4 linked regions of the Daphnia pulex genome follow. The protein of the gene in region 3 interacts with the protein of the main gene of each other region in a biochemical or structural test. Links are inferred from orthologs where the notes say so. Each region holds a gene or a part of one and is shown on either strand. Other genes may lie near its edges.

Region 1 (5,937 bases), on a different chromosome or scaffold from region 3:
TACGTGATAAACCTAATCGAATTCCTGTTGAAGGAGAATTTGAATTTCCATTTGAAAAAATATTTGCACCACCGCCGGCTTTACCTTTGAAATAAAAAAGTTCAACACTTGAAAAGTAATTAATTGGCTTGTGATTGATTTACCTGGTGGTTTCCATTTCACTGCAACCCTCAATGGCGGACTAGGTGGCTTGAAGATGTGAACAGGATCTTGTGTAATTTGGGTGTTCTTGGAAGGTACCGCTTCAAAACCTCCGAGTTCGTCGTTTTTAGGAAGGCCGTTGTCGACTATCGTAGAATGAATTATTCCTGTGGGTTTCGATGAATCACATGATTCATCTCTACATTGCTTAAGATTTGTCACATCTCTTTTCGAGTTCGTCTCAGGCTTCTTTTTTAATTGCAGTTTTTGTTTCAGGACTTTCGTTGCCTTTTTGGCAGTTTTGGTAGGAGATACTGCTTCCGCTGACACTGGTCGAATTTTATTTGAATCTTCAGAAATGTGTTGAAGCGCGGAAATTCTTGGGTATTCTTCAGCTTTTTCTAATTTATGGTCGTCTTTTGATACTTTGATTTTTTCTTTTACAGATGTGTGAATGTTATTCTCTAGGGCAACTGGTAATTCACTGTCTTCATTGATTGAAGCAACTAGAACTAAGTTCTGGCAATTTTGGATAAGTTGTTCAGGTAATGACCTTTCCACCATTTTTGTGCAGGGGGATAGTCTAGGTAGCAGTGGAAGTGAAGTATCTTCACTATCATCTACTGAAAGTTTTGTAATGGATTCAACACTACCACGGGTATTCAACTTTTCATCTTCTTTACTTTCAATTTTGATCTTCTTATTTTTTGCTGTATCACTTTCACTGATGATCCTTCGTTTGGTTATTCTTTCTTCATTTGTTTTAAGGGGTTTGAAATCCTCATCCTCACTAACTATCTTCTTTTTTGACTCATGTTTTTGGCACATGTTTTTCACTGTAGCAGATAGCTCAAAAGTGGTTCCACAGATTTCAGAGTCTGAAGAGTCACTCAGTTCATGAGGAGAAAGACATTCACACGTGGATGCGATAACTGTATCTTGTGACGAAATGCTGTGAATTATCAAATCAGGTTCTGCTATGGAAAAATCAATCTCTTCCACAATCTTTGATCCAGCAATTATGGGAGGCTGAATTGCCTTGAAAAAAAAATGCATGCAAAGCATAAGATACTAAGTAAAAAAATGATAATATTTTAAATTCAAACCTTTGTTGATTGATCTGAAATGGGTTTTAGTTCTGTGAATTTCGATTTATTAGACAACTTAGTTTCCTTTCTTGAACCTAGCTTCAATTTACTCAGTTTTGAAGGTTTCGATGCAGTGGCAGAGGGTTTTGAAACCTTAGTGTTGACAACGAAATCGTTGTCACTATCATCTGATGATCTATCGCCATTCATGGCTGCATAATTTATCACTTTCCGAGTTCTTCAAAGAGATATAAAAATAAGTCAGCATACATTTATTCCATGAGTTATCAAGTAGTACCTGGTATTTGGCTTTGCAACTTCCATTTTAAGCACATTGAAAAGTAAGACCTTCAATCAAATTCCAAACAAAGATTACGCCTTGTTTGAAATAGCGGCGAAAATCACTCTCTCTCTTTCGGTTAGTCTTCAAGTGTAGTCTGCTATCACTTAGGAGCCGCCTGGCGGTCAGATTCAGAAGGGGGAGGGTCGGAGGGAGAATAAACGGGAAACGGAGGATGGGCATGGGATACAGGCCTGCCTGAACAGGGTTATAATTTTCTAAAATCTGGTTTATTGAGTTCTAGTTTGCGGCTGGTTTGCGGTTTCCTTTTTTTTAACAAACAACAACATAAAAATAATTATAAACTAAATATATATGTATGTTGGGTTGGTTGAGGATTTATATAAGGATGCCACTTCACTAACTACAAAGTTTTCAAACTAAGAACAAACAATTTCATCTGTATAAGCCAAAGGCTTACATTCACATCTGTATTGATGTCTTCATCCACAGTGGTCTAAGAATAGCACATAAACAAGTAGAAAGCAATCAACAGTCACAGGAAAAATACCGATTTTACATAAACACACAAACAGGCTTACGGTACGTTACATTCGGGAAAAAAGGGTGGGTATACAGAAATACCAATATATACCTACTCTTTAGAGTGGCAATCATGGTCAATCAAATTGTTACCAATCAAAGACAGTTCTTCTCAAACTACAGTATAAACAATTGGAGAAAATAAAGGTGGTTTGAGAAAGACACGATATTTCAAAGACGTGAACAAGAGGGGCCGTTTAAAAAAGAGGGACATTGGCAGGTCAGTACTCTGTACGGCGAAAGTCGTCAAGGAATCACAGCAGATATTGTTTTCATAGTATAAATGAGAGTCAAGGTGGACGAAGATTCAAAGTAAACTAACCGATACAAATACGAATTCAATAACTCACTCATCCATCAGCAATTATCATGTCTTAAAAAACCACATAGTTAATACACTCATCTGAAACGATTCAAGGTGAGAAGAGAGAAAAACTTAATACAGCAAAGCGAAACGAATACGGGAAGAAGCTGAGGGTTGATCACCATCAGTGTAGTTCTTCCTTGGCGTGCAGCACATTTTGGTTGGCTCGATCATTGGCCCATTCAACGAAATCGTCAAAAAGGCTAGGCCAAGCTTCTGTGTCGTCGTAGCGGGAAAGATCATTTCCCACAGCGTCCACTAAGTGTAGAAACATGCACCATGTATCCCTGAAGAAGAGAATTTAAATTTAAATTGCATTGAAATGCCCAACTGTTGGTGATTTGTACCTGGGTATAGCTCGAACAGGTGGAGGAGACTGTTCAAGAAATTCGATCCAACGATCAAGGAGAGGGACGGGTCGATGAGTAAATACAAGCCGCCAAAGTGAAACGGCTACATCAACAGGCAAAGAGCGTTGACCACACTCTACATCCAGAGCGAAGCGAAACGCATAGCGGTAAACGTCACTGAAAACTTCGCTGTCCTCTACTTCTTTTACTAATTGTTCTAAGCTGAACTTGAGACTACGAGGCGAATCTGTTCCTAATAGTCGACATCCCTGGATAAATGATTACACATTAATTTCAATTTTTTAAATAAATTATTTGTTAGTGTTGTTACTTGTAAGAATTCATTCTTGCTGAGCTTGCCCATTTGAGCTGCATCGCACTTCCATGCAAATAAAAGAATACGAAAGTCGTCAGCCGCTAAATCCAAATCAGCACACAGATGAAGTATTCCATCAGTGGTTATGGCATCTTCAATCCTGTCTTCAGTATTTCCACAGTAGCTTTCATAGAAGGCCACTAAATTGTTTTCTGACACTTCCACTGCACTAGTTCCATTCCCCATTCCACCAGTGCTTAATGCACCATTGATGGTATTGTTGTTTGTCTTCTTAATATCACCTGTTTGAGATGTAAAATTTAGTAAGTGTATGGGTGGCTTCATAACAAAGAAATGTTTATTCACCTGAGCTATTACTCCCTCTTCCAACCAGTGGTGGAATGAGCACATAAAAGGGCCTACGCATCTCCCCTTTAGAGTCTCTAGCGTCCAACCCACTTCCATTCACATATGTTTCAGAGCTGATGACCAGGTTAGAGTCCTCTAGCTCTTCCGATTGTGAAGGACGGTATGTATCTGTGTGACCATGAAAAAGGATTGGGTTACACAAAGGTACATTATAAATTAAATTTTCAACTAACCAGAGTCTTCTAGTTTACTTGATGAAAGAGAATAATTTCCAGGAGCAACGGATGATCTGGTATTCGCCTCACTTTTAACACAGGAGCAGCAATTCCCCATGGATGGATTTCACAAACCCGAATCGCGCGCTATAGCCTCACAACTTCAATCCCTTCCCTTCGATTCACTTTTTCTTTTTAAATCGTAACTAGCACATCACCATTGAGCCCTGATCTCGTTTTACGTGAAAATCTCGTAAGATATAAAGCTACCCAATATATAAAGGAGAATCATGTAGAAAATGAAAGGAAAACCCTGGCACACAAAACACTTGTGGGGGGAGGGGGTGACGTTTAGTCCGAAGCACACAGGCATCACAAAGCCTCCTTGCGTCCGAAAAATACACTTTACACTAGATTCAAAATGGCGGACGAAAACGAAACTTCAGTATGTATACAACTCCACATTTTTTAAATTTTAAATTAATAATTCAAGCTTTCATATTGCCACTTTCATTTAGGCCCCTGTAATTACTGTGGAAGAGCCACTTGATTTGATTCGCCTAAGTCTCGATGAAAGAATTTACGTCAAAATGCGAAATGAACGAGAGTTGAGAGGCCGGCTACATGTAAGTCGAGCACATTAAATTGCTTTTTGCTATAAAATTGTGTTCCCAAAATATATTGTATTATTGTTTATGGTCCATAGGCATATGATCAACATTTGAACATGGTGCTAGGTGAGGTAGAAGAAACAGTAACCACTGTTGAAATTGATGAAGAAACTTATGAAGAAGTTTACAGAACAACTAAACGCAACATTCCCATGCTCTTTGTACGTGGAGATGGTGTGATTCTGGTCTCCCCTCCAATGAGGGGTTCAGTTTGACAAATTAACTCAAATTCTTTCATTGTTTTGAAATGTCAAAGGCTGAATACATTGCTTTCTGATTATCTAATTAGACCACATGTGTCACTATCATTTAAGAATTCCCTAACTGTGTTTACAGTTATGATGCATTTAGGCTCTTTAATGACATATGCCTTGCATAAATAAAATATGTTAATTGTGTTAAAAACTTCATACAATAATTGGGTTAAAACTATGATAATATGATGATATGATACTACTTTTTTTTTAGAAAAGGAATGTTAGAGTTAAATATGGAATGAGATTTTAAAAGATAAATAGAACAACGACTGTTCATAGTTTAAAACGTCTAGAATTAAAAATTTATAATAACAAAACAATTAAGAATTTAGACCTATATTTGATTTACACGGAAAAATTTGAAACTTTTTAGTCCAATCCAGACGGCTTTTCAGTAAACCAATGAAATTGCCCGAAACTGTTTTCTTCCAAAAAAACAAATGACAGTCTAGCATTTTAAGTCGTCTGCTCTTAGACACGGCTGCGACACGTGTTGTCCATCGTTAGCGTAAGTTAAAAGCGGTGTTACTTTTACATTTTCATTTTGACAATCGTTTGTGTGCTCAACATGAAGAAACAATCTAAAACCAATAGCAAATTTGTTGGGAAACCTAAAGGTGGACCTATCAAGAAACCAATCCAAAGCCAAACAAAAAAATTAAATGGTAACAATGTCGCCGTTGTTAAAGATCAGAAATGGGCGAAATTGAGCCTCGACGAGTTTATTAACTCATCAGAAAGTGAAGACAACACTTCAAGCATTGACGAAGACTCCACAAAATCAGATGTAGAAGCTGGAGAAGAAATTGAAAGTGAAGTAGATGAGGAAGATGAAGAAGATGATGAAGATGATGAAATTGACGAAGAAGATGAAGATATGGATGAAGCAGATGAAGACGATGAAGAAATGGATGAAGCTGATGAAGATTCGGAAGATGAAAGTGGTGATGAATCAGATGACAATACAGCTGTGAAGAAACACAAGAAAACACTGGACAAACTAAAAAATACTGATCCAGAATTTTATCAGTTTCTGTCTGAAAATGATCGTGAATTGCTTGAGTTTGGCTCTAGCGACAGTGAAGATGATGAAAGAGGAGGGCAGCTCCATGAACTGCCTAAACCCGAAGAATTAGAACTTGGCAGTGATGAGTCTGATTTTGAAGACAAAGAAAGTGCTGCCAAAAGACAAAAAAATGTCATTACACAGAGTATGGTTGATAAATGGCAGCAAGAACTTCAAGATCCCAAGTAATTTCCATTTTATATTAGATATTTATTAA
Region 2 (6,199 bases), on a different chromosome or scaffold from region 3:
CCAACCCTGGGACTTGGTGAAGATCCATTCTTTTGCCAATTTCTCCCATGCAGAGCAGGGCAAAGATGTGTTGCCAATCAGAATGAGGTCTCTGAGCTTCCTGAAGAAAATTCTGTACCAAAGTAAAAGCTTCAGAAACAGGTTGCGTCACAACCAGTGAAGCAACAGCCTGGGCGACAGAATGATGGGCAGTCTTGTGGAGACCAGGTTTTGACGCCAAATTCATCAGACACATCAACAAATCGCGGTAGCCAAGACCAGATCCTGAATGGAAAGTAAAAGTGAACAGTTAATATTGTTAATAAGTTGTCTTCTAAGTAATACAGTTGAAATTAAGAGAAAAAAAATCACTAACCCGGAGCATTAAACTCGACCAAAGCCTGTAGGAAATCGAGAAGGGATCCCAGAGCCACACCTTGAAGCAAAGGTGAGCGCAAGAGATTGAAGACTTCGGACAAAATGCCTCCATTAACTCCACCGGTTTGAAACGCCGAACGCTGATTCCGCGCAACAGAAGTGAGCAAATGAAGGGTTAGCTGCGCGATGTGCAAATCAGATTCCGACAGCAGAGGCGGTATTTCGGTTAAAACCGCATGCAGTAGTTCCGGTGTTAGCGCAGCGCTAAAAAAAAAACAAAGAAAGAGAAGTCTTAAAGGGAACCAAGAGGAAAAACATAAAACTTTTAAGTAAGTTATTACCTGTAGTTGTTGACGATACGATCGAGCAAAGCAAGGGTAGTTAGTTTAAGTGCCCGCTGGTTCTTACGCAAAAATCCCGCAAGAATTGGAAGTGCTTCGGGCAACAATGGGCTTATATTGATGTGTAACGGAGACGAAGCAATTTTTGTTAAAGCTTTGACTGTCGTTAACCGGGTAATCTCGTTTCGAAGACGATCCAAAAAGATGGGGAGGCATACCATTAGTTGATCTGAGCAAAGAAGTTGTGAATTCAAAAGTATGCAGAATTTATCATTTTTAATTTCTTACCAGCAAGGTGATCTCCCAGATGAGAAACTATGAAACCCATGCATGAAATGGCGCGCTCTTTGACTTCCTGGTCCAAATCAGCAGCTTTTAGCCGGACTAGTACGCTATCATAAATGGAGACTGTGTATGGTGTAAAGTCAAATGTGGTGGCTGAATCCAATGGACGCATCACTCGCACCTTTATAAAAATAGAAGCATTTAAAGTGAATTCCAAATAAATATTTCAGTCAAAAACATTTACCAACTGCTGGAGAACCAAAAGAGCTTCGGATGTGATCTTGTAAAACGGATCGGATACAGCACTCAACAAAGAAGGCAACAATGCTGCAATATGCTCGTGAGCCACTTCGGGCGGATGGTGAATTAGTACCGTGTGTACAAATTGCAAAGTATCTATTTTCATCGGAGAGCTCGCATTCCTTTCACTGTAATATATCAAAGAGTTAGTTGGTCGGTGTGTTACGACGATGCCAGCGGGAAAAAAAAATACTTGAGACAGAAGAGGATTCCTGGGACCAACTGACTGAAATGAGGGCTCAAACACCCGGGAATAACCAAGACTAGCTCGGTCAAAAGGGCAAGCACACCTTGTCGAGTTTTTAGGCTTTTGTCCTGTATTAAAAGTGTAAGTATTTACCATTCCAAGAACTAAAGGGAACCTTTCGTTACCTTCATTTGTTTACTGGTGGCTTTAATAATGAGAGGGACTTGTTGCATCAACACGCTGTAAATCTCTTGATTAGCGCCGAAGCCAGTACCATCGTCGCGAACAGATCCAGATGGCTTGGTCTGTTTCAAAAGAGCAATGAATGCATGGAAGATATCAGCTTTTACGTTTTCTTCGCGCTCTGAAAATGCCAGAAATGTTTTGATTAATTGTTCCAATTTTGATCAGAACAACTGAATTTTACGAACCTTTAAATCTACCGATCAACACAGGAGAAATGGTACGGTAAAAATCTATTAGCAAATCTGGGCGGGTGCTGATAATCGCCTCTAAGCATTTTGCAGCACATCGTCGTACCTGAGGGGAAGAAATAAAATAAATGTTTTCCTTTTTTTTCCGATGATGAAATCGTTTACTCACTTTCCAGGACATGTCGTCATCATCCGAATACTCTTCCTCATTTTCTTCATCTTCTTCTTCAGTTTCCATATCTCCTTCGTCATCTTCGCCGTTTTCTTCCTACAACAAAAATCATCACTCTGTAAGTTTGATAATTCAAATAAATGTTAGCTGATGTTTCGTACTTCGTAATTGTAGTTTGGATCATAGGCTAATAGTTCCAGGCAGATACCAGTGAGAGTACCAATGTGAGGTGTCATCTCTTTGGAGCATTTGTGAACGAGTGCCTCAAAAGCCTGAAGACAGAACTCTCGGAGTTCATCATCATCTACGTTAATGAACTGAATTAGAGACGGCACCACTCTCTCCACGTTCTCACCAAAGCGATGACCGGCTTGACGACTAGTTTTTATTAGAGGAAAACATTTAGCATTTATGATGCAACAATTAAGTTGTCAACTGATCAAGTGTTTGGATACCATATAGCACCAACTGCTTGAATGTAAGTTCTGGTTGTTGAAGTGGTAGAGTTCTTGGCCAGACCATCAAGAAGGTGTTCCATAATCTTCACGTATAGAGTATGATGGCACGACATAACCAAGTGGCCTAAAGCCTGGATTGTACGTTTGCGTACTGCAAGACGCGGCGAAGCTAGCTGGGGTAATAATGCTTCGCGGATAGCTTCGTGAAAGGAGACCAGGAGACTACCAAATCTGGTAAGCAAATCAGCCAAGATATCAAGGGCCTCTAGTTGTACTGACACATCTTCTTGCTTGGCAATTGCCGTGTTCAAGCGACCTGTTATTCTTTTACAAACCTGGTTGGGTAACAAACCAAAGCATTTAAAACATCAATAGAAAAGAAAGTGAATATGCCATTCTGTAGAACTTACAGATGCTGCCATTCCAGATGCAGTCAAAGGGAGTTCACTAATAACAGTTTTTAAACCAATTGAAGAGATATCTCTTAATTGTTCCTTGTCTGATGACATATTTGTGCAAAGATGTTCAACAATCGTTTCCACTTGAACATCCTTCACTTTTGTGACTAAAGGTCCAAGACTGTGAATTCAATTAAAATTATAAGTGCTGAGTGAATTTCTGTACATTTCTGGTTTAACTATACATACCATCTGACAGCCAGGTTCTGAACTTCGCCATTCTTGTCCTCCAACAAGCGAAGAAGCATCTTAACAACCTTTCGCTCAGAGTCATCATCCAACTTGATGGAATCTTTCTGTAACTCTCCCATCAAATCATTGGTTGCCATGAATCGGAAATCCTTATCGCTGGAAGCCATCTGTAAGTGAATTTTTTTGCATTACATTGACTGTTTGGATACAGTAGAGAGCATGCATTGCCTCCTGAAGAGCAAGCATTTCAAGTGATTTGTTATAATTGACATTAAGATTTGGACCTTTTCTAAAAGATTGGCGATATGGTACGAGACGTTCGACATTCTTTAGCCTTGAATTCAGAATTGTGAGAGGCAAAAAAAAACTACGACGTCTCTTTTTTTCAATCGAGTGTGTATCTGTTATGTGCTGACTCGCCGGTTGAAGAGAAAAGAAGGAAGAGAAGCCTCTTCTGGTTTCTTCTGCAGTCTGCACTGATGAGAAGACGTAAACCGACGTAATGAAAAGGTAGGCCAGCCAGGGTAGGCCATGGGGTATGGAGAGATGAGATAGGCCTATTCATTTTTTATTATAAAATTTACATGACGATTTGTAAGGATTCTACATGTGAATTGCGGATTTTAGAAATTCCTTTAATTAAGTGAAGGGCTAGCCTTTTTTTTATTTATTTGGTCGCTGACTCGTTCAACCGCCCGCCGCCGAATTTGATAGGAATTGTTATTATTTTCTCTGGTGCATTGGAGCGTTATATCGATTATGAAATACCTTCTGCAGGGACAGGTTTTCAATGGCCCGATCGCGATATGGGCTTCTATTCTAATATATTCTTTCGTATATATGAGCATCGCAACTTTTTTAAGCCATTTAAAAGCTCCAAGAAAAGAACTTGTTGAAACTTGAAAGCCCTAGGTAGAAATCAAATCCTGATGTTTAAAAAATCAGAACAATATCACGATTGAGACACATGGCCAAGGTTTAGTTAATCGAAGAGCGGGAATCTTTTGTAAAATTTCTAGTCTTCATCAGCACCTATCGTAGAAATTTAGTTATTATGACATTTCATTTTTTGGCTATGGAGATAACCTTGTACTAGTGAATGATAGATGTTTCTTGTTGTTGTGGTGATGTTATTACAACATGACCAGGTTATAATGAGGATAGCAAATGCAAATGTGTTCTACTTTATAAGTTTGTGTTGCTACCGTCCGAAAAAGGTAAATTACCCCTAAAGGGTGCTGGTTGGTTTACTATTCGGACAGTCAAGTCACAAAGTTTAGTTAACTTACAAGTCCTTCGGTCCTTTTATACTTTGAGCTGCGCTGCATGATAGCACCCCAAATTTCAAGTGAACCTCATTGCACGGTGCATCTAGGAAATTTGAATTTTTCCGTTTCCATTTTTCTTTTTCTAAAAATCGAGATTCAATTCAATTAATACTCTCTTGCCCAAAAGGCCTGGAGATCGCGTGTTCTCGGCTCAGCTCACTCATTAGGAAAAGATTCAATTCCATTAACGGTTATTTTCGTGGTATCTCTTGGCAGCTAGCTAGTGTTTTCCTATGCGGGTCCGTGAATGAAGGAACAAGAAAAAAAAACGAAAGGTGTGTGAGTTTCGAAATCGTGAAAGTAAACGGTTTAACTGGCCACAAAATTTAAAAACATTTCTCTACTTTCCTGCCCTATTCTGTGCAGTAGCAATAAGCAAGTCTTTTTGAAGGATTCGGAGCAAAATAGCACCTGCGTCGACTGTCGAAATCTCTTTAGTCCCTGATCCCGTCCCATCACTTCTACCGACTGGTCGATTGAAGTTCCCTTCTACCACAGTAACAAGTTTTCAATCCTTTTTCGTTGCTGCAAAATTGTTTACTCTTATTTTTGGCATGTTTTACCTGGAGAAGAAACGTCACGTAGACCACAGCATGTGGCCTACGTGACTTCAACAAATTATTTCAAGGAAACATTTCCATAAATTAATTTGTAGTTGCCGATCAAGTCCCACACGCGCGCGCTCTCCATCAATTCCTTGTGAACCCAGCAACCTGATTTTTGTTTTATTCCTCTTACTTATAGGGTAAAATTTGAGATAACAGCATATATTTTCCGTCGACTTATAAAGGCAGTACACAGTTTTTGAAGAAGTATTTACTTTTATGGATGGGAATATGTAGCAATCTTTGACTTAATAAGAAGTTCCCTTATGACTTCACTCCTATTCCAGTTCACACTAGCTTCTTAAACTTGTTTTGATTGTCTCATGAAACGAAGGCAGAACCTGCTGAACTACCACTCAGTCAATTCTTCGGCTTTGATCTTATTGTGAACTCCTCTAGAAAATTCTCAACCGGACTCGCTGTTTCAAAATGGGATGATGAACGGTTTGACGGAGCAGCCTTCATTCCTCATTTTCGTATCATTCTTAGCTATCAAGCTACACAATCAGCCAGTCAAGGGGCTGGAGAAAAGAATGACAACATTTCATTTGATTGATTGTTATTCACAACGACAGCAAGGACATAATCGTCAGGCTCGTTTGGCTCGTGCTACCCCCTCTCTCTCTCTCCCTCTCTCCGACGACTTGGAAAAGTAGGTCTTGCGATCGAATCAGTCGTTGTGGACAAGGCACTTGGGTTCACTTCAACCGGCAGAAGATGCCATTATTGTTGCTCTCAAGCAGAGAAAATTGTGGAGATCGAGCGTCATATTTCTTTCATCTCATTTATTACAAGTAGAGAGACATACATCAGCGGGGAGAGCCCACAAATTTAATTTGCTAGAAGGTTGGATCGCTTTGTAGGATAGGTATGCTACACAACAAGTTTGCAAGGATGAAATCTGGCCACGATGGCGAATTTTACCACCATCGAAGCGAAATGGGAGAAACATTCACTGATAAATCAAGAAATAATAGTTGCCTTTTTTTTCGTGCAACTTTCAATTCTATTAAAAAACACATTTTAAAAGGGACCAGCGACACAATATATTAGTTAAGTGGAAATCTTTGGTTGAGCTCGTT
Region 3 (5,166 bases):
TCTTTATAAATGTCAAAAGTTGGATGAGGCCTATGCACAGAAAAGATAGTTTATACATTAAAATAAATATTATTATTATATATTATTGACAAATAAATGTTGTTACTGTGTGAAGAAGGTTTGCAAAGATTGTAGAGTGCTGAGTGGAATGTTATTGGGATCAACGGTGAGGATGCGTTCCAGAATCAAAAAGAATCCGCTCAGAGGCCAGGTGGGTCGAAATTGTTTATCTTCACTCTAACAAAAGAAATGTTCAATAATAAGATAATTCTGTCATAAACATAGACAATTATGTGGCTGTCAATAACTACCTTTAGAATACCCATGTACACTAGCAGTGTGTTATCAAGAACAGACATCTTATCCATTGACTTGGCCTTTTCGAAAGCCGCTTTAAGAATCGCATCAACGGACTGTTGAACATTTTCGACTGAAGATATCTCCGATCTCAGATTGACGGTCGAGCTAACTTTCATGATGACCTCAGCGTAAACGGCAAATAATGCATCGGGCTTGGCAGCAATCAAACGCTAAAATACGGAAAATCTATCAAATGAGGTCACACAATTTTTTGTATTGCGAACCTACGTCGACATGTTGAAGAATCAATGAGCTTTTCTGGTCACCTAACCCATTGAAGCGAGCCAAAGTGGGTGCAGCAAGTAGTGCCTCCACTGTCGACTGTTAAGATAGTCGTAAAATAACATTCAATTACAAACGATTTAAGAAATCTTTTGAATACCGGAATGACTTCGTTTGCAGTTAGCTGAGCCAGATTAGCATTAAGTTGATGCAAAGTGTCATAAGCAGACACATGATCGAGAGATTTTTCTACTTCTTTCTCTTCTTTCTCTTCGTCGCCACTCTCTTCCTCTTGTTCACTTTCTTCTTCCTCGCTGCTTGGTTCACCTTCATCATCGCTTTTAGAAGAAAAAAAGAAGAAATGAGATCGCAAATTTTAAAGCATATTGGATTGATGGTTTTCATACCTTAAACTCAGCAAAACCTTTTCACCTAAGCCACTGAAGATATCCTTGAGCTCCTGACATCCTTCTTCACCGAACTGATTACCGTTTAGATCACATATTTTAAGCATTTTTTTGTTTTTTAAAGAATTAGCCAATAGCTTTGCTCCACTCAAATTGATTTCGCCATGATCCATATAGACTTCCTAAAGTACGATCCAATTAATACATAGATGTAGAATTACGAAACGCCATATTAAGGAATTTAAACATATTGACATCAACAAAAATTACCTTTAAATGCTCATGTCCGGATGACAATGCCTTGGCGAGGAACTCAGCCCCCTTGGTACGGATCAAACAGTCTCCAAAGTTTATAACCGACAATTGCTGCCATTTTGGAAGAGCTTCTGCAACAGCTTGTGATCCTCTCCAGGTGAACGTGTTATCATTAAAGTTAAGAATTTTCAGGCCAGGGTTATAAACAAGCGCACTGGCCAATGCGAGAATACCAGGATGTCTTATAAAATTTTGAGGCATCTGGACTTCTTCCAAGGTTCCAACTGCCTAAAAACAAATATGCTGTAATTAAAATAATTAAATAATTACTGAAAATAAAAAAAACAGTGACCTTGAAAAATTCTGACAGAGCAATCGCTCCTTCATTTTCAAGTCGATTTCTTCCAACAATGAAGGTTTTCAGACTCAATGGAGAACCAGCCTCTTTACTGGCTTTAAGACAGTCATTTAAAGCTTGGGCAAGCATCTAAAGTAAAAGGTAGCAGTATTATGATTACAAATAAATGGAATTTTAGTTACCCGTCCACCATAAATTCCAAGGCCATTGTTGTTTAATCTTATACATTTTAGAGAATAGCAGACAGGGCTTTTCAAAAACTGAACAAGACCTTCCATACCAACTGGACCTAATGCATTATCACTCAAATCTAACTCAATTAAGTTAGCTTTAGCCAAAATGAGTCCTCCTCCTAAGAAACTCTATTTAAATAAACGGTGGTTAATACTGTTAATCGTCACATGCACCACAATCAAATTACCAAAGCTTTTGGAATTTCATCTTTCAACCGGCCAGTAAAAGCATCTTTCCACAGTGCTCTCTGGAAGGTTGGTTTGGATTCTAATGCTTTGGCAATAGCCTTGGCGGCTTCAACACCAAGAGTGTTTCCTTCAAGGATGAGACCTGTCAAACCTTTTGCAGCCTGAATTGCATTAACAATAGGTTGGGCTGTTGAAAAATTCCAATAAAAAGAACTTTAATCCCATTTATAAAGCAAACATAAAATCAGAACAAACCGTCGGCTTCCGTATCTAACTTGAGTCCTTTCCCGCTAAAATCTACTATTTCTTCTTTCGCATTCAAATTATTGGCTTCAGAGTCTCCATTAAACTTAGTCACTGCCCCATTCATTTCTTCGAAGTTGTTGGATGATTTTTATCAGGTTCAACCAAGATGACACTCTAAAGTGTAAGTGTAGTATTATTTTCTATTGAGACAAAAATTCACGTGTCTAATTTGAACGCTAACAGTCGGTTTATCGACTCCCTCGTACCCTCGAATTCCCAAGCAGAAATTTCTCTTTGTGCAGCGTTTTCACATTTCAAAAATAGGGTAGGCCTATTGACTTTAGAAAAATGAATTGTTAATTACTATTCATAACTAAATTTACACCTAACAGTATTTAATATTATTTTTAATTTAAAAAAATCAGTTGTATCAATTGGATTTCTGGCAGCATAAAAAAATTTATATGGAATTGTTTTTGACGTTTCTCCAACAGTCTGCTGTTTAGTCCTCTCAATCAGCAAAAATTTCCCATCTGTTCTGTATTGGGCCAAATAAAATCTAGACTGGTTCCTCTGTAAATATAAGAAGGAAACCCCTGTTAAGTTTTCCCAAATTTGTAGATCTCGTATTTGTGGAGCCGACATCATGATTAAGCTTTTTTCTCTTAAACAACAAAAGAAAGATGAAGTTCCAGGTCGGGCAGGAAATCAAAAGAAAGCATCCGCTGCCCAGCTGCGTATCACCAAAGGTCTATTGACTAAAAACAAGTTCTGACCTTGTGACCCGTGTTCCATTTATTTTAATATTTGTTATAATGTCTCGTAGATATTAATGAGTTAAATCTACCCAAGACTTGTCAAATGGAATTTCCTGACCAAGATGACTTGCTGAACTTCAAATTAATCATTTCTCCAGATGAGGTATTACGTATTATGAAATGCAAAATATTTATTTGATTTATAAAACTTTTTTATAATTATTCTGTTACAGGGTTTTTACAGAGGAGGGAAATTTTCTTTTAGTTTCAAAGTTGGTCCTGGTTATCCTCATGAACCACCCAAAGTGAAGTGTGAGACACAGGTGTATCACCCGAACATTGACCTTGAAGGTAATGTGTGTCTTAACATTCTACGAGAAGACTGGAAGCCAGTATTAACAATCAACTCCATAATTTATGGTCTGCAGTACCTTTTCCTGGTGAGCTCTTTTTCTCAGTTCATTGAAATCCATCTTGTTATTAGTAGTCCTAAATTCCCTAGAATTGATGTATGTTGGTTATTTTATTTCACTGTTCTTGTGTGATTTTCAAGGAACCCAATCCAGAAGATCCATTGAATAAAGAAGCTGCAGAAGTACTTCAAACAAACCGGCGATTATTCGAAACAAACGTCCAAAAATCCATGCGAGGGGGATATGTTGGTTCGGTAAGCTAAATTACTTTGAAATCATATTTAAAAATAACACAATCTTGTTTTGAACCTAATTGGGGAAAACAGGTTTATTTCGAACGATGCTTGAAATAACATCCGAATCAGATACAACAAAAAACGAATGGCTCTTTTCAACTTTGATTTCAAACGATTTTTAACATGGAAATTTTCATGTGCAGAAAAAATAAACATCCGCGTGTTTTGCGTTCCATCATTAGTTTTTTATTAAGTTTCATCATTCAGCTGTAATTTTTTCTTGAATATCCATCACCGTTCTTTACTCGATATACGGAACGATACACGGTTCAAGCAGAAGGAGGAAGGGAATGGATGACTAGGCTTTGCTACTGATGAGAATAGAAAGTATCGAACTATTCAGTGTTCCTACTTCCTACAAAGAGCGCATTATCAGCAGTTAGATTAACCTTCCCAAGCAAAGCCTAAATGCACAACACAAAAATTCCCCTCCAAAAAAAAGGCAACCAAAAAAACAAAACAAATGGGCAATTTAACCTAATCAGACAGATTCAATAAGAAAACCAGGCATTGATGAAAAAAGGTCAAAGCACAGCTATCAATAAATGTGATAGTGACGGATGTTATCAAATAGAACCATATTGATAAGGAATTATACGATAACGTTAGTAAGAAACATTCATCTGCTAAATGGTGAAGTAGACCCATTTCCTCCGAAATTAAAAGAATCGGGAACCGTTTGTTGGTTGAAACTGTAGCCTGAAGAATTTAAAAAAAGAGAAAAAAAAAATTGTCTTATGATTATCATTAACACAAATCTAGGAAATTCTTACCTCCAGCCTCTTCAATCCGCTTACTTTCAGCGGCTGCGCGTCGTTGATCAGCAAGAACAATTACGTCGTTTAGGGCTTTTTGCTGATCACCTGTCAGAGCTCCAGTCAAAGCGTTGTACCAACCGGGATTAGTACCTTGAACTTCTTCTAGTACTTGCTTGAAAATGATATATTCATCTATTTCACAATTTTCAACGTCCAACGGAGTAGTGTAACCTAAAAGAAAATTTTTAAATATTTCAATACTGTTTCTTCTTAGCAAAATCAAACAAAATTTAAATACCCTCAAGGGCTGTTTCTTCTTCTTCGTCTTCATCATCGTCCTCGTCGTCACCATCTTCATCGTCCTCGTCGCCAGGGAGATCCTTGATGACAGTAGTGATAGGAAATGGAGACTGACCAGAGGCTTTCGAAATTTTTTCCTTTAAGTATTTAGAGTATTAATTAGTCACAAAATAAGCGCATGCTTCACTAGATTTTTTTTTTCAATACCTGCAGGCGCTCCAAGTAATCTTGTCCATCATGATCAATATCATCTTCGTCAGAGCTGAGCACTTCCTCACACTCTTCATCATCATCGTCTTCATCGTCGCCATTTTCCTCTTCTTCAGCTGCCTTGGCGGCGTAAGCGCGTTTCAGTCCGTCAAAGAGTAATA
Region 4 (6,249 bases), on a different chromosome or scaffold from region 3:
AGCCAAACCGACTTGTTTTCAATTAGAAAGGCCCTAATGTCGGAAGAGGAAGCTAGATGAGGATTGAAAAACAATAGCCTACATCTGTTGATCCAGTTGATACGGAACATGATACCAATCCATCACATTCTAAAATTATTTCGACTCTTCACAAAATTAATTAGGATGGAACCTTAAATCTGGACAACTTACCACGCAACTGTTGTTCGTCTGGCAGGAAAAGACAACGGTAAAAGATGAAAACCAACGCAGTGGTCCGTTGCGAATCTTGATATGGGGCTCAGCAGCTCACTGAAAACACTCCAAGAATCAGCAATTGAATTGAATGTGTTAGACGTCGTCACCAGTTGATCTCTTCGGCTGTCGAGCGTGAACCTAATGCTCGATCCGCACGGATGAATGTCGTCAACTCGATCTGGTTCTTTCTCTTTTGGCAGCGCTCACTAAATAACCGGGCAATGGCTCAAAGTGACCTGAGTAATACTCCGTTCGTGCCGTTCTCATCTGTGGTGTGTATGTACGTGCGTGTTTGTTGGATGCTCCCAACTGTTGGCTCGGCGCTTGCGCCAGCGCACAGGATCCCACGCAGGGGTTGATCTACACGCGTCTTCGTTTTATTCTTTTTTCTCCTTCTTCATCTTCGCGACGACGACCCTTTTTTTTTCTCTTTTCGATCTCTTAATGACTGAATCGGCCGCTCGTTTATCAGGTCGAAAGGATTGCAGAATATGGATTCTCTTGTCTTCCGCTCGTCGACTGACTTAAAAGGATTGCATCGCACCACCCGGCGGCGATGGATGGATGGAAGAAGGATGGATGGCCGGCTGTCTCTAACGATCCTCCCCAACGTTACCACAGGGCTTTTTTCTCTAACGAATAGCAAGAGGCGGTTATTGAAGTTCGGTTATTGAAGAATCATACATCCATTTATTGATAATTTGTAGAGGAGAGCGAAAAAATCGTACATTTTCTTTTCTTGTTTCTTTATTTCGGTTTTTCTGTGGGAGGAAGGAAAGGGTTTTTCTGTTTTTGGATATTTATAAGCGCAGCGTTGCCGTGGTAGTCGTAACCGAGTTGAAAATAAAAGTGTTATCCAACGGGACGTACTGCTTGGTGATGAGTTTGATAACTTCTTGGGCGGCACATCCACCTGTATTTACGGAGGAACAAATTATTAAAGCAAATGATGCAACAAACCAAATCAAAACACGAGTGAAGCACATTTTTATCGTTACAGAAACATGAAACCCCTGGGGCATCAAATAATGCGATTGTTCGCATGGACAGAAATTGGAATGGAGGATTGCTCACCAATAAATGCTGCAACGGCGTGCAACTCGGCTGCACCGTAGCGACACATCTCGTGAAGATTGTCATCCTTTGAAAGACTACCGCCTTGGCAACCAAGATCGTTAAGAAGACGAGAGAAGCAACCCTGTCATTGCGACAGATTTTCAAATTAGGATCAATATTGTCTATTGTCATCGAGTCCATCACATGTTTCTTTACCTTCAATTTAGCTATATCGGTCTCAACATTGTCGTCATAGTAACCGGGATGTGATCCATTTTCCGTGTGGAATTTATTAACAGCTCTTAAAAGAAGGTAGTGCAGCCAGGGGCTATCTGGTTCTTCCAACTGCTGATCTGGAAGTTAGACAACAAGTAGTTTTTTCTTTAATTCAGGAAGGGAATCCGATATATCACTTACTGATGTCGACATCTCCCGGGAGTTGCTTGCCATCCAATTCGGCCGCCAGTGAAGTGCCTCGTATCATTCGTAGTTCAGACGAATGCTTACAAAACAACTTGACGTCATTTTCCATCACCGATTCACTAGACCAGCCTCGCTCCTTCAGTATGAGTTGTACGTGGCGCCACACGTGTTCGGCATCTTTAGCTGCTTGCTCACGATATCTATGGGCATTGTAAAGTGCCAAGTGCCAACGTCATGAGCAGTTATTTTCCATCTTGATTGTAAACTGACTACTTACACATTCTGGAGAGCGATGTAGCGTTGAGAATCGGAAGTCATGTCGGGGAGAGAGCCACGCAGGGGTAGTGCTCCGTTTCCTTCCTTTTCCACAAATTCTTTAACTCCACGTGCCACAATCCAGAAGGGGTTTTTCTCTTTTAGATGAATGCACTGGTCGTCATTCAGGATCTTTTGTACACTGGATGGAATTTGGGTCTTATTTAGAGCTGTGTTAACCGCTTTAATGGCCTCGGCGACGTTTTCCTCGCCGCCAGTGTTAGAGTCCTCTTCTTTGACGATACCGCATCCTAATTCTGTATTGGACTAGTATTTAACTAATGAACAATTTAGAAACAAAACAAAAAAGTCATCAAACCTTTGCTTATGATATCCTTGAGGATTTGTTTTTCTTTGTAATTGGATGGCATATTACTATTGTGCTTTTCCTTCCATATTTCTAAGGCTTTGTACAACAGCATTAAATATGGTGTATGACTGAACTGCTTGTGATCCATTTCAGCTAGCTTGATGGTCTCCATGAACTCTTTCAATCCATCAAATGGTTTATCAAGCCGGAGGTCCTCCAGCAAGTTATCTGGATGTGATTCGATGATGCAATGTTCACTGACTTGAAGCCGGATAGATCCAATAAATCCATAGGATACACAAACTACCAGGGGGACATTGTTCTGCCACAAATTGGTTGACAGAGAATGCAATGACCTGTAAAACATGAGAAAGAAACTTTTAGCTTTGTCATAAACCTGATTACATGATTCACTTACTTTTCAGTAAGGCCAGTGGCTATGACAACTGAGAATGTACAAAAAAAATCTGGATTATTTGACAAAAGTTGATCACATGTTTCTTCTATGTAGTCCCCTTTCACATCTGCATTTAGTTCCATCAGCAACTGGGTTGCCACATGTGCCCGAGGCTTCCCGATTCTGTTGTGATCAAGGAAGAAACTGGGTGAAACAAAAAAGACATTACTGCCAACAGACATGAGATATCTGTAATTCAATTTTTTACTTATTCCCAGCATCCTCCCCAGAAACCAACGCACCGTCGACAATAGTGAAAGAACCGATTCCAGGCAAGACTAGAGACTTCAAAATTTCTGTTCCCGTTGCAGTTGCGTTAATAAGACAGACACTGGCACTCTCCAATGCAGCCTGCCCATGATCTCCCCAAAGCCTATGAAAATTTTGTAAAAAAAAAAATCAGGAAAAAATTTTGTTTTCAAAAAATTTAAATAATGTATTTTACCTCAACTGGCGATCATATTTTTTGCTTTTATCCGAGAGCTGACCCGGTGATTTTGGTGAAGGAGATGCCATGCTTTTGTACAACTTCCGAGAGTGGCTTTTCGTTCACTCAAACGAAAGAAACTTTTTAGATTTGTTGATGCTACTGCTACGCCATCTATCATTCATCTAGCTTCACTACACATCGACCGTAAAGTAACGCCATCTTTTGGACAATCGATAGAACATGAAGTAGAGGGAAAATCTGAAGCTTTCAAAATGTGGAAGAAAAGAAGAGTAAAGCCCCCCGAAAGGTCTAATCAATTGAAGAGTATCGATCGAGTTCCTTAGAAAGAAGCCAACAAGCCTTTATTATTGAACGTCTTGCGCCCAGACGTAGCTACATCACCAGAAAATCCCTTATTCTTGTTCTGTATTGAGTGTACTTTTTCCCAAAATCGCTGCAAGTGCAAAAGAAGCCTTTAGCCGAGAACAATCGATGGCACACGCAAACGGGGTGCCAACTGGTACATTTTCCCCTTCATTTTAAAAATAAGTTCCACAATTTTCTTTATAGACGTAATAGCAATGGAAAAAAAAAGAGCTAGAAAAGATTGAGCCCATCATGGAGGGCGGTGTAACGCCTATGACTACAGTCACAATGTTAACAGGCCATTAAGTTGCAGGCATATGTTAACGTTCGGTGGCAGTCGACTGTAAATAGAAAGAAAAAAAGATAGAAGAGTAGAGGGAGGCGGGGTAGGGTCACGCGGAGAAAGAAGAGGGGGAGTGTGCCTGCCTCTATGGTGTACAAGAGACTTTGATGTCAAAAGGGGGAGGAAGAAGACGATCACGAGGGCGGGGCGGTGTAGTATATAAATTCAACGAGAAGGAACGAACAACCCGAATCGCCATGAATCTAAAAGGGGAAGATAGAAAGAAAAAAAATGCCCAAAATAAAGATCTGGTGCCTTTGAGGGAGTCCTCACTGTTAACTTCTCGTCAACGACTTGTGTTCCTTTGCACGGGACATCAACTTTACAACTGTTTATATGTGACATGGACCGAGTCAGATCATGTTACCGCCGACAGTCCAGAACGACAGGCCTGGGATAAAGTAACAGCTCCGATTTCATTCGATCCTCCTTCGGCCACTGTCCCCCCTTTCGGCCGGTGCATAATCGACCGTCCCGAGATTCTTGCGGGTTTCATGGGGCCATCAAAACCAAGACGTCAAATGGGCGGAGTGATGTCACGCCTCTTTTTCTTCCACATTTCCGTGTGCGACGAATGGACGTGGAAAACAAACTATTTTCAAATTGTTTTGATCTTGTCTTGTGTGTAATATAATAAATCGCCTTGATTACATAATAATTAATGAGAAAAACGAGAGTTTGTAAACCGAACGAAATCAAACGGGGTGGTGAAAGATGATGAAAACAGCATTACCGATATAGTCTACTACAAAAATATGACTAGACACGCAGAAAAGTGGGCGGCGGGGAGGCAAGGGAACAACTGAAACTGTTCAATTGGTTAGAGACAAGAACGGTTAAATAAGATTTCGACGTGACTAAACAGGACTAGATTATACAATAATGAGATCGAAGTGTATAAGAGTATATAATAGAGTACCGAGAGAGAGAGAGAGAGAGATACTGAGAGAACCGATTTGGGGGAAATCGGAACGAGCTTCCTGGTCCCTCTAAATACATACGCACGGTTGAGGAATAAATCAAGCGGATGTGTACACAAACAATCGGGTTCAACAAAAGAGGATTAGAAACCGAGTACGGTGAACCTTGAATCTTCATCGATCAGAAAATAGAACACACTGTGTATGTGTATAGGCCTAAATAGATATTCCATTTTTTCCCCCATAATTAACATTTTACGACTAGTTATTTAAAATTCAGGACAATCATTTAGAAGATTTAGATTCAGAAAGTCTTTGATGGCTGGTGTTGTTCTCTGCTAAGAAACTGCATTGTGGTACTCTTCTGGTTGATTCACGATGACTTTGCGTTCAGAGATCGAAAAATGGGATTAAAAACCATGGAGGAATCGACTGTGGAATTAAGGGAATCAACTATGTACACCCGGTTGAACAAACTGGAACAGCAAAGGGAGAAAACTTGGGGGGTGAATCGAATGAAAAATACAAACAGTCGGCCGCCACAAGACGGTGTGGTGTTTAGGCCTATACGTAAGTTACAGTGTACGTCGAATTCACATCCAAAATGACCGTTGCCATTTGCTATGTACACACACATACACACGGGCATCCAATAACATGAAGTTGCAGATAATAATGAGGAGGTTTATCTCCAAATTAAATCGTCTGCGCAGTACCCACACAAATGGATGTCCTCATCCGACATTCAGCACCAGAAAAGTGTTACATCAAAGCTGATGGCAAGCGGGGAAACAAATTTTGGTATTTTTAAAAGGGTATATAATACTTTGACTGCTGTATAGTAGAAATTACAATACCGGTACGGGGGTTTTCTGTTTTACAGTTGTTTTAAAATATAAAGTCGTTCGTTTCTCCTATTTTGTCGGTGGATTTTCAGAACTTTGTTTCAAGCGTAGTGCGGATAGGATCCGAGGTGGGAAGTGACGTGACTTGGGTGGTGATGATGGTGGTGCTGCAGGGCGTGGCCAGCGCTCATGGGCATATTGGAGTAGAGGTTTGCTGCGCTGAGATTGCCACCGGGGTTGGTTGACCAGTAGGGCGACGGTGGTGGGAAGATGGCGCCAACATTGAAACACACGTCTGCAAAAATCACAGCAAAGTCAAAAAAAAAAAATCAGTTCGAATTCCACGTACGAGTTGGCTCGAATGAATTTTCTTACCTGGAGATGAGCTCATGGCCGAGTGAGCGCCGACCAGATTGAACTTGGATCCGGCGGCGTGATAGGACGTCATGAACAAGTCCGATTGGTATTTATAGGCCGGATCGGTGGGCGTCGGCTGAGTTGCCGCCGCCAGCCCTTGGAAATCAAACTTGTAGGCGTAGCGTTTGCC

The links.
Region 1: the proteins of NEDD8-conjugating enzyme Ubc12 (region 3) and DCN1-like protein 3 form a complex in vitro, tested with the Homo sapiens proteins (4 studies listed by BioGRID and IntAct). The link is inferred for Daphnia pulex from reciprocal best matches to the Homo sapiens genes UBE2M and DCUN1D3.
Region 2: the proteins of NEDD8-conjugating enzyme Ubc12 (region 3) and cullin-associated NEDD8-dissociated protein 1-like form a complex in vitro, tested with the Homo sapiens proteins (2 studies listed by BioGRID). The link is inferred for Daphnia pulex from reciprocal best matches to the Homo sapiens genes UBE2M and CAND1.
Region 4: of the proteins of NEDD8-conjugating enzyme Ubc12 (region 3) and NEDD8-activating enzyme E1 regulatory subunit-like, one has a biochemical effect on the other in vitro, tested with the Homo sapiens proteins (4 studies listed by BioGRID, with this or other methods). The link is inferred for Daphnia pulex from reciprocal best matches to the Homo sapiens genes UBE2M and NAE1.

What each region holds. Positions count from the first base shown.
Region 1 is NC_060026.1:10,626,523-10,632,459, forward strand, and holds DCN1-like protein 3, read right to left. Parts: upstream 3,887-5,937; 5' UTR 3,845-3,886; coding exon 3,745-3,844; intron 3,680-3,744; coding exon 3,509-3,679; intron 3,445-3,508; coding exon 3,158-3,444; intron 3,096-3,157; coding exon 2,824-3,095; intron 2,764-2,823; coding exon 2,601-2,763; 3' UTR 1,964-2,600; downstream 1-1,963. Other genes in the region: uncharacterized protein LOC124205018, read right to left, coding at 1-84, 144-1,179, 1,248-1,467, 1,528-1,553; nucleolar complex protein 2 homolog, read left to right, coding at 4,148-4,171, 4,245-4,352, 4,433-4,601, 5,212-5,905. UniProt on the Homo sapiens protein: Contributes to the neddylation of all cullins by transferring NEDD8 from N-terminally acetylated NEDD8-conjugating E2s enzyme to different cullin C-terminal domain-RBX complexes and may play a role in the cell cycle progression by regulating the SCF ubiquitin E3 ligase complex, after UV damage.
Region 2 is NC_060021.1:5,210,911-5,217,109, forward strand, and holds the start of cullin-associated NEDD8-dissociated protein 1-like, read right to left. Parts: upstream 3,679-6,199; 5' UTR 3,511-3,678; coding exon 3,469-3,510; intron 3,352-3,468; coding exon 3,182-3,351; intron 3,114-3,181; coding exon 2,945-3,113; intron 2,870-2,944; coding exon 2,532-2,869; intron 2,455-2,531; coding exon 2,238-2,454; intron 2,173-2,237; coding exon 2,074-2,172; intron 2,011-2,073; coding exon 1,902-2,010; intron 1,835-1,901; coding exon 1,656-1,834; intron 1,599-1,655; coding exon 1,477-1,598; intron 1,412-1,476; coding exon 1,228-1,411; intron 1,165-1,227; coding exon 987-1,164; intron 928-986; coding exon 699-927; intron 622-698; coding exon 356-621; intron 265-355; coding exon 1-264. UniProt on the Homo sapiens protein: Key assembly factor of SCF (SKP1-CUL1-F-box protein) E3 ubiquitin ligase complexes that promotes the exchange of the substrate-recognition F-box subunit in SCF complexes, thereby playing a key role in the cellular repertoire of SCF complexes.
Region 3 is NC_060024.1:11,931,019-11,936,184, reverse strand, and holds NEDD8-conjugating enzyme Ubc12, read left to right. Parts: upstream 1-2,741; 5' UTR 2,742-2,916; coding exon 2,917-3,019; intron 3,020-3,096; coding exon 3,097-3,191; intron 3,192-3,261; coding exon 3,262-3,468; intron 3,469-3,581; coding exon 3,582-3,695; intron 3,696-3,767; coding exon 3,768-3,794; 3' UTR 3,795-3,918; downstream 3,919-5,166. Other genes in the region: ran GTPase-activating protein 1-like, read right to left, coding at 1-30, 107-237, 312-530, 589-681, 743-920, 990-1,171, 1,260-1,532, 1,597-1,731 and 3 more; importin-7-like, read right to left, coding at 4,357-4,436, 4,511-4,726, 4,794-4,932, 5,003-5,166.
Region 4 is NC_060021.1:5,297,212-5,303,460, reverse strand, and holds NEDD8-activating enzyme E1 regulatory subunit-like, read right to left. Parts: upstream 3,401-6,249; 5' UTR 3,315-3,400; coding exon 3,244-3,314; intron 3,172-3,243; coding exon 3,007-3,171; intron 2,943-3,006; coding exon 2,760-2,942; intron 2,698-2,759; coding exon 2,351-2,697; intron 2,289-2,350; coding exon 1,994-2,288; intron 1,917-1,993; coding exon 1,711-1,916; intron 1,647-1,710; coding exon 1,510-1,646; intron 1,436-1,509; coding exon 1,312-1,435; intron 1,151-1,311; coding exon 1,038-1,150; 3' UTR 908-1,037; downstream 1-907. Other genes in the region: DNA-binding protein D-ETS-3-like, read right to left, coding at 5,804-5,997, 6,078-6,249. UniProt on the Homo sapiens protein: Regulatory subunit of the dimeric UBA3-NAE1 E1 enzyme. E1 activates NEDD8 by first adenylating its C-terminal glycine residue with ATP, thereafter linking this residue to the side chain of the catalytic cysteine, yielding a NEDD8-UBA3 thioester and free AMP.